Danio rerio: one gene and its partner. The protein of the gene in region 2 purifies or fractionates together with the protein of the main gene of each other region. This does not show direct contact. Links are inferred from orthologs where the notes say so. Each region holds a gene or a part of one and is shown on either strand. Other genes may lie near its edges.

What was found. Proteins that work in one complex are often made in the same cells at the same time.
Region 1: the proteins of smc2 (region 2) and ncapg2 purify together in Homo sapiens (affinity purification with western blotting; 4 studies listed by BioGRID and IntAct, with this or other methods). This does not show direct contact. The link is inferred for Danio rerio from reciprocal best matches to the Homo sapiens genes SMC2 and NCAPG2.

Annotation. Positions count from the first base shown.
Region 1 is NC_133182.1:40,561,141-40,565,977, forward strand, and holds part of ncapg2 (condensin-2 complex subunit G2), read left to right. Parts: intron 1-5; coding exon 6-182; intron 183-695; coding exon 696-806; intron 807-2,093; coding exon 2,094-2,222; intron 2,223-3,251; coding exon 3,252-3,351; intron 3,352-3,556; coding exon 3,557-3,747; intron 3,748-4,837. UniProt on the Homo sapiens protein: Regulatory subunit of the condensin-2 complex, a complex which establishes mitotic chromosome architecture and is involved in physical rigidity of the chromatid axis.
Region 2 is NC_133176.1:21,039,671-21,044,976, reverse strand, and holds the start of smc2 (structural maintenance of chromosomes protein 2), read right to left. Parts: upstream 3,533-5,306; 5' UTR 3,438-3,532; coding exon 3,270-3,437; intron 2,534-3,269; coding exon 2,384-2,533; intron 2,293-2,383; coding exon 2,170-2,292; intron 1,440-2,169; coding exon 1,401-1,439; intron 1,298-1,400; coding exon 1,187-1,297; intron 1,102-1,186; coding exon 1,057-1,101; intron 470-1,056; coding exon 236-469; intron 1-235. Other genes in the region: exoc1l (exocyst complex component 1-like), read right to left, coding at 4,762-5,028. UniProt on the Homo sapiens protein: Central component of the condensin complex, a complex required for conversion of interphase chromatin into mitotic-like condense chromosomes.

The DNA.
Region 1 (4,837 bases), on a different chromosome or scaffold from region 2:
ATTAGCAGGGTGATGAAGAATCAACTGGCAAAGTGCATTTTGATGTCCTGGAGGAGTCAAAGCCAGATCTAGGCCTAGACTATCTGGATTACATGCTCTTGAGACCTAAAACACGAGAATGTCTGCTCACACTGCCCCTGGATCAGATGAGACCACTTCATAAAGCCCTCAACAAATGGAAGGTACAGCAAACTTGAAGGTTGAGAATATTATTAGAGAGAATTGGTGAAAGCCTACTCTTTTATTGTGTGTCGTGTTATTACTGTCATTAGATACAAAGTCAATAAGGTAATTGCAGGTTTTCTGTGGCCTTGCTTTGAAAATAGTGCTGCACAGAGCTGAATCATGGCTAAATGTCGTGATGTTTTTGTCCTTATTATCTACTTATATCTCTGAAAGCTCACAGAATTGTTATATTCAAGGATGTTTTGTTTACCAAGGTCAGACTTCAAATATTATATTACATGTTTTTCAGCCTCTATCTTTGAAAAAAATTATGTTTTTTTCAGGGTTTTTGTAGGGTCTTAAAAAGTTTTCATTTTTTTTTTTAAACAAAAATGAAAAGCCTTAAAGTCTTAACGTTGACCTGGTATAACCATGTTTTTTTAAACTTTCTTTACATGGTCCTAAACTGAATCCAAAGTGTGACATGAAATGTGGATCTATTGTCTTTGCTCTTTTGTGAATGTGTCCAGTCGCTGCTGTTCTCCTTTTTGAGCGGATCAGAGGTCAGCGTGGCAGCCATTGAGACAGCACTGAGAGCTTTTATCTTCCATGGCAGACTCTGTATACATCTTCAACACAAAGTGAGTGTACAGCCATAACACTGTTGCATGCACTCTTTGAGCCCTTGTCACTGAACACACTCACACAATTTATATCCTTAGTATGTGAAAGGTGCTTTAAGAATATAAGTTGCCTATGTGTGCATTAAGTATCAATTTCTTAGCACTGAAGTGACACGACAAATTAATTTCAGAAGTTAATGTAGGCCCATCTTTTTGAGGCTGGGTTTTATTGGACATGACTCAGATTTTGTTAAATACTGATCAAGCAGTGCTTGACTGCGTGCTGTAAGTTTCTTTTAGACTGAACAAGTGAAACTCCTATCCTGCAGCATTTATATATATATATATATATATATATATATATATATATATATATATATATATATATATATATATATATATATATATATGTGTGTGTGTACATGCATTTTATTTTAGATGATTATGACAAAAAATCATTGCCAAATAATTAATTCTTTAAATATTTACAGCAATATTGTCAGTGTTTCTTATCAAAATGTACATGAGAATATATACAAATATACACTTCTTAGTTTTTTATACAGTTTTTTCATTACTTTTTTGACCTTAAGAACCATTTGTTTCTGTAATTTTTTTAAAGTGAACACTGAGAGAACCAAAGTTGTTTACTACCCAACTATATAAAGCCTACATCACATTTGATGCATAATTCTAAATCATGGGTGTCCAACTTGGTTCCTTGATTCCTGGAGGGCTGCAGCTCTGCACAGCTTTGCTCCAATGTCAATCAAACACAACTGATCCAACTAATCAAGGTGTTCCAGACTGCTAGAGACTATTAAGCAGGTGTGAGTTGGAGGTGGTTGGAGCTAAACTCTGCAGAGCCGTGGCCCTACAGGAATTGAGTTTGAGACCATTGGTCTAAATGATAAAAATAATAGTTCAAAACAACAACCACACTGGAAAAATCATGTTAAAATTGTAATTTTAGTGATTGTTACAATGAATGTAGTTTTTTTCAAATGGGCTTTGGGATAAAGTCACATGCCACTTCTAAACCATATCTGACAACTCAAAGTATTGCACACCATATAAGCACTTTCTATACGCAAATATAATGTTTATTATTATAAAACAATGCTGATGGTACGGAATAAATTATAACGGTGTCTTTGCTGGCCAAAGGATGTCTGCACCAATTAAAAAAATTACATGCTTCCCAAAATGTTGTGTCACTTGCTTAATTTTACTTTAAAATCAGCAGAATTTAATATTTGTTTTAAAGTGGGAACCCTGATTTTGCCTTTCTTTTGAATTCTGCAGTTTCCAGAGGAGCGGGAGTTCCTCAAATCTCTGGAACATTCGGTGTCCTGGGTTGAGAAGCGAGTCCTTCCTTTCTTGGTCAACTCCAGCAGTGAACAACAACTGTCCTTAAGCACAAAGATTGTAGAGGTGAGTGGTTTGATTATTGTCAAAACTAGTTTTGTTTTATTTATTTATTTATTTGTTTGTTTATTTTTAATTGTTTTTTGTAGTTTGTCATGGATGAACACCATATGTAATGTAATATAGCTGTCAAAAGAACACATATTAAGCTGGTAAAATGACTTCTGGAGATTGGTGTGACACTGATGAAAAATGTTTTTGAAAAAACAGTTGCCAGATGTCACAGAAGATGTTTTGTTTTATTTTATCTTTCAATCATAAAGTCGCACTCTCTGGACTGAGACACAAAGCACAGATGATCTGATAACAATGCCTAACATGTAAATTTAACAATCTCCAATGTCAAATGCTTCTAAAAATAAAGTAATAAAGGCGATCTGTGTTCTTGACATTTAGTTGACTGGTGCTTACATGAAAGTTCAGTAATTCTGATTAGATTTCTGAAAATGTCAACAAATTTGATCAGTAATTGTGATTATATGTTTGAGTAAAATAATTGTTTTTAGCAGTTTTAACCATTATGCAGTATAAATAAAAAAAGATCCATTGACTTCAACTAAATTCCCAGAGGTTTACTCAACAAAATCTTGTCGAACAAAAAAGCAATAGGTTGACAAAATATGCTAAAAACTTATAAATATATATCTAAGACAGGATTAAAGGTCTTTGCTCACTAAAGTTTGAAGGTTTTGTATGGTTTTCCCCCTGCATTTTGGCTCATAACGTCTCAAAAGACTTTCTATGGATGCAAAAAAAACCTGACAAACATTTCGGAGACAGTGTGTTAATGCAATTGACTCAACATGAGGTCGGATTTATTTTTTAAACATGCTCAAATTTAAGACTCCGTGTACAATGAACTAAATACTTAGATTTTTAAACAGTGCACTGTAAATAAATACTTTTAAAAAGGTTATCAGGCACATGAAGACTAATTCTAAAAGTAATCCATTGATTCACATTCTTACAATAGATTGTGCAGATGGTTTTGGTTTGCTTGTATATGATTTATTTCCCTTCTTCTATCATTGTCAGAGCTGTGTAACCGTGTGCAAGAATGTGCTGCGGGTTTCTGTTGGAGACAGTGATTTCAGAGACCACTTACTGCAGCATGTTGCCTCAGTACTGCAGACAGGTGGGTGCTGTAGTTTTCATCATGCCGATCCAGAGCCCAGAGATTGTATTATGTATTATCAGATTAAAGAAAGATTGACAGATTTATGTGTTGTTAAAATAAATTAGGTTTGACCCCTTTATACAAAATGTTATAACAATGTTATGCAAAATCTTATAACAATATAACAATGCTTTTTTTAAATGTATGTTTATTCTTACTTTAGAGAAAGGATACATGTGCATCCCTCATTTGCTTGCTCTGCTTACTGAGATTGCACATGGCTGCCTTTCCCAAAAGGCTGAGGGACAGGAAGATCAACTGTCCCTCACTATCCGCATTCTGACCAACATCTTCCAGAAAGTTGTGGAGATCTTAGCACATCGTCTGCGGAAAGACAAGGAAGAGGGTCAAGAGGTGAGGCCTTTGAAAAGAGATTTTAGGGCCTTCCTTAAATACACACAAACATGTGTGCGCATATACATATATTAAAACTGGATTAATGTTGTTCAAATTTAACTGATGACTGCTAGGGCTGGGTGTTAAGTTTAATACTTCAACTGCCTTGTTTCAATTACAAAATGAAGAATCAAAAAATGTCTTGGCATTCAGTACCAAATTTTCTTACCTAAAATGAATGAATCTCATCAATGTTTGTTAGCCAAGTGTGCATAATGACAAATCTACTTCAAAAAGAACAGAATGCTCCAATTATATTGGCATTTGTGAGAGGATAACCGCAGTACACTCGTGAAAATGGTAACCTTAGTACAACCCTTAGAGTTCTCTCACCTGCTGAGCTACTTCGGCAGGTGCAGTCACTTTTTTCGCTTTTTAATTTGTAACCTCAAACGTCATTAGTTTCGTCAAATTTTTTGTGAGACCAGCTGTGATTGAGTGGCTGTTATTTTATGATCCTCAAAGGAACACTATATATTTTTGAAAAAGGCCCATTTTACAAGTCTTCTAGCATAAAACAGTTAAAGCCTAGTTCACACTACAGGATTTTAAACATCAGCAGATCGCTGTGCTGTTCACACCACATGACTTGACTTTGTGTCTTTTGATCTCTGTGATGTTCACACTACGCAACACTTCGTGAACGATCCACAAGAGGGGGGTCACACACTACATGATCTGACAACATCTCATTCCCCATCAGCTCATTCAAGCTACCAAACCACAGCCAATGAAAATTTGAGGGAGGAGTCGTCAGAAAAAAGCTGAACACTATTGGCTGCTTGTGTGCTGATAACATCACTGACAGCATTTCAAGCTTTGGAGAAAGCATTTAAAAACATCGTCAAATCAGCTGATTTATCAGCGCATTAATCACTCATTTGCAAGGTTTGAGTGGATAGATACACAGAGAGTTTTTCATTTTTGTAATTTTATAACTCTTTGAAATAAAACTAACATATTTATAACACCCTGCCGTTTTCTAACTATCAGTGTATTTCTTTCTGACATTGTTATTTTTTTTATTACAAAACAGTAAAGAACTGAG
Region 2 (5,306 bases):
CAAGTAAGGAATTATTATAATTTACATTTTTTATTTATTTAGCCAAAAACGGAGCAATCTGCTCAGTTTTTATAATAAGTAATCCATAAGTGAGCCCTTGTTCTCCTTGGGCCTGCCCCCCACTACTCTGATGGACTTTGTTAGACAGGAATTGCCCCCTTAATGAATATTCCCAATGAATGCACTATTAATTCCTGCCCTTGTTTTTAGATCTGGCTGTTTGTTCTCCACTCACCTTGTCTCTCCTGCGCTCCAGCTCCTGTATCTCTGCACTGAGCTCCTTCACTTTGGCCTCATTCTGTTTCATGTTCTCCTGCAGCTTTGCGATGGAGCTCTGCATCTCTTGCAGTTCTTCATTAGACTTCAGCTTGGTTTCCTCGGCACACACAAACAGGTACGCCACGTACAGCCGACTCAGGTGTTCAATCTCTCGCATGAGCTTCTGGTACTCCAGATAGGATGCACGTTCCTGAGAAGAAGCAAATGAGAGCAATACACTTTACTACATTTTTTAAGGTAACTGGTTGCAAAACTTTTATATACGGTCTGATTTTAAACAAACCAATTAAGTTAAACATTACTAAATTTAATTTGTTTAAATTCAGCCCATATAAATGGTTTGCAACCAACTACCTTAAAAAAAATGTGTAAATCCAGTTAATCATTTTTTTGAGTGTAGGACAAGGCATAAGGATGAGTATATATTGAGTCCTATGTACTCTGTCTGCAGTAAGGAACTGATGCTGTTAGAAAACGCTTTTCAAAGCAGCACATAAAGGCACACAGTAATGTATAGCCTTTAGATTACATTATTTATTATTTAGCTACTTTATTATTAATATACCAAAGGTATAAATAAATAATATATGGTTTTAATCTAATCTACACAAATACTTTAAATTATAGATATGTTATTTATTATTAATCTGTTATTCATTCATACGTTTTTTGAGGGGGGTTTGACAGTAAAAAGTAAATGTGCTAACACCATGCTAATACCATTATTTTACAATGAACTACACCTAAAAGAAAAATTAAAAAAAATTAAATGCCTACCTCCTTTAGTTTCTCCATAGCAGGGGTGATCTCCTCATCTAGGATCTGTCCCACACCCACAGAAACATATTAGGATTACATTTTCAAAAGATTAAATTGTTGTTGAACATTAATATTTAAATGTACGTACAGTCTGAATTTCTTTGAGCTTGGCATCTTTCTTCTCAATAGTTTTCTGAGCACTGATCTTCTTACATTCGTACATCCTTGTACCTGCTGCTTCCTCAATCATGGCCAAAATCTAAAAATGGAAAAAATAGGAAATTAACATCTTGGTATCGTTTTTTTTTTTTTTGTTTGTTTAATCAAACTGACTATTCCTTTTTATTTAAATGATCTCTTACCTCAGGAGGCTTCATGTTTAAAACCTTGGTGATTCTCCCCTGGAATAAACAGGTAAAAATAATGAAATTGCTCTGTTTTGAGATATGCAAATCCAAAATAAGGGTACAATATTAAGGATTCAATAGCCATTCAAATGGAATTTGCTATATTATGCAGCATTGCAATATTTAGCAAATTTTGGATGAAAATATTAAGAGGTAATTTACACCAAATCAAACAATGATGTGAACTAGTTTCTGTGAATATGAAAACACAAAGACTTCATATTGAATGTTCTAAACCTCCCTGTCAATAAGTTTTGCACAATTTGAGAAATAGCTAAACCTAATCTATGTGTTGTTTTTTTTTTTTAAATATGTAGGCTTTGTTAAACTCTTAATAAACTGTTGTAAATCACTTGCAAGATTTTAATTCAAAATGCTTTTTAAGTTACATACGATTAATAATTAACTATTAAACCAGTGTAAAGAAATATTAAACACACAAAAACAGAATCTAAAAAAAAAATAAATAAATTAAACACATATATATATTATTCCTGGGACCACAGGCCCAAAAAGATTTATAAAAACATTGAGAACTTAAAATTCACTATATTATTTTCACCTATATAAAACAAACTTATATCAAATAAAATCTGAATTTTGCAGGGGAAAAAAATTGTAAAAAAGTTTTTAAAGCATTATTTCATAAATGTGATAATAATAATTATAACAATAATAATTGTAGAATATTATGAGGCCATATAACTTCTCTTATGATGATTACCTGCATGATGAGAAAGTGAGGGTTGTTGACATTCAAGCCAACTGAACAAAACAAATCCTGGACACGCAGGTTGTTCGCATTTACGCCGTTGATGAGGTACTTGTTGCGACCACCTATGACCACCTGCACAACACAAATAACATCTTCACATTCTCATTCTTAAAGGTGAGCTGCTATCTTATAGTGAAAATGGCACTGATTTTAGGTCATCTACCTGTCGTGTGATGGTAATCTCATCATGCGTCTCAAACCCAAGTGGACTCTGTTTCTTATTGGAGTTGTCAAAAGTGATGGACACTGTTGCCTTGGTGATCCCAGCCAGGCCATTTTTGTAAACCAGATCTTGGAGATTTGTGGCACGAACCTACAAAACAAGCAGCTTTAGCTTTAAAAGTCGTTATATGTATTTCTATTTTATTGAGCACATCTTTTGTTTAAGTTTAAGTTATAAATATATAATATTCACTTATATTTTGTTTGCCTTTTGTTGTCATCATACAATTTATTAACAACATATGTGACCCTGGAGCACAAAATTAGTCTTATATCACAAGAAGGCTATATTTTGGCCGTAGCCAAAAATACATTGTATAGGTGAAAATTATTGATTATTCTTGTATGCCAAAATTACTGGTAATGTTATATTAAGTAAAGACCATGTTTAGTGAAGACATTTGGTAATTTTCCTACGGTAAAAACTCAATTTCTGATTAATAATGCCCTTTGCAAACCTAATATGGAAAACTTCAAAGGCGTTTTTCTTAGCATTTTTTTATTTATTTTAGATTTCAGATTTTCAAATAACTTCCAGTTGTATGCATATCGGCTAAATGTGGCCCTATCGTAAAAAAGTAACGTTATACATCAGTGGAAAGATTGTTTCTTTAGGTTTAAGATACAAAAAAATGCACGTATCTCTAGTTTTGTGGTAACTTACAGGGTCACATATAACAATGAAAATGATTGTATTTCGTTTTTCTGCAAACAAAAATAAACAATGTTAAGCTAAACAACAATCAAAATAACGCAATCACACCTTAAAAACGGATTTATACACATTGCTAAGTTCTGATAATAAATAAGCATGTTTAAACCCTCACCTGGGAAAGGTTCGAAATCCCCAGTAAAAAGCAGATGGAGTCGAGTATATTTGACTTTCCGCTGCCGTTCAGTCCAGTGATGGCGTTAAAAAACGGATCAAATCCGTTAATCTCTGTCCTTTCGGCGTAGGACTTGAAGCCCTCTAGTACAATCGACTTTATGTACATTTTATCGAAATGATATGAGTAAAATCCACTAACAACGCTTGATGAAAACAACCTCCAAAAGCCCCGGCGTTGCTTTCAGTTCAACCATCTAAACTTGAAATTTGGCGCCAGGCGCGTTTCCGCTCCGCCGTTCAAAAAAACAGAACAGATTTCAAATTCCAGTAAAATCACAAGCAATGAATTTCACTAGAAGCCTGGATATATTTAGACAAAATCTAAGTTTATTTGGTAAAGATTTACAGTCATTACAAGCAACGCTTTGCTGTCAGAAGTGAAATAAATGTACAACATTTTTTTCAGGCTACTTTTTAGCCACCACAATGATGAAGGACCCAAAACATTGAAGCGTGTATGACGTCATTAGGGCGGTTTAGCTCAAGCTGGCCGGCTCGAATGACATTTGATCGTTACGTTCAAAAGAGTGTAGTTCAGCGCACATTGAGGCTGTTTTTAATATGATGGCATGTTATTACACGACTGTACGAAATATCAGATTACAGTAAGTCAGTCGCGGCATTCAGTAGTTAATTTTCTGATTGCCAAACGCTACATTTAGTACCTCCCATAGCTGTGATAGTTATATATCCACATGTAACGTTAATAAAACCCTTTAATCCCAATGTAAATAATTTCACAATGTATATGTTTATTTTATTACAAAGGTATAGTACTATATAGCCTACTTTATATTATCTGGGAGTTAAGTTAATTGCGGCCAAGAATAATACATGCATGGAATTGAATCTTTCCAAAGTTAACCTACATTCTGTATCATTTGCAAATGTGCATAAATTCGTGGCATAAATAGTTAAATGTTTGCAGTACTATTGCAATGTCACTGATTCAACAACGCAAAGCACATTGCAATAGAAATGTGAAAACAGCAGTTTTTTCACCAAAGAATCTCACCCACAATTATAATATCTATGTTATTATATCTAAACGTGCTGTATCCACGTTTACCTCACAGTTTTACTTTTTCAAATGTTATACCACATTAGAATAAATCGACTAAAGTACATGCAAAATATGTAACATTGCATTAATAACAAATATACATTCTCAAAATTCAAGTCACGGCATAATTACACATCAAAAACAGTCTTTTACGCTACATTTGCACAAGGCTAAATTGGATTTCACCCACACTGTGGAGTTATGTTACAGTTGCTGTAGGTCTGAGTGCTCGGAGCTTGGCTAAGTGCTCAAAACACAGCATAGTTTTGTACACTCCCTTGGGCTTTTTTTATACACTTTTTGTCAACATAACATTTTTAAAGGCAATTTGAAAGAAATTAGACTCATTCAAATGTCTCTGCTTTCTCTATGCCAGAGGGACCGGACACATGGAAAGACACACCAAGTTAAAGGCATAGAAACAGACCTGCGTGAGGACAACACAGTCACCACGATCTGAATACATTGCGGTGGGCTGAATGTAAGTCCAGTCAAAGTTCTTAAGCTTCAATGCAGTGTGGTGATACTTCCTGCTCAAGGACAGCAGACAGCGGGCCAGGGTGTATTTGGCCGCACAGCTCACTGCTCTGATGGGCCGCACCGAGTTGAAATGCATCAAAAAACAGGGATCATCCTAACACAGCAGAGATATGCAAATTGAACATCTTCCAGTGGAAAGAAATAGATAACTCTCCCTGATATAACACTAATATCGTAAGCAGTAGGGCTGCACAATACATCCTTTAAATTCAAATTTTAACCTTAATGGATGAAAAGAAAATGTAAAGCCTGTGACTATGTAAGGTTTCAAGCTAAATTAAACCTTTGGTCACAAGAAAACTATAGAATTTGTAGCTTTACCAAAGATTATTTGTATTACTTATTTATAAAATGAAGACTACAGTAACAAAC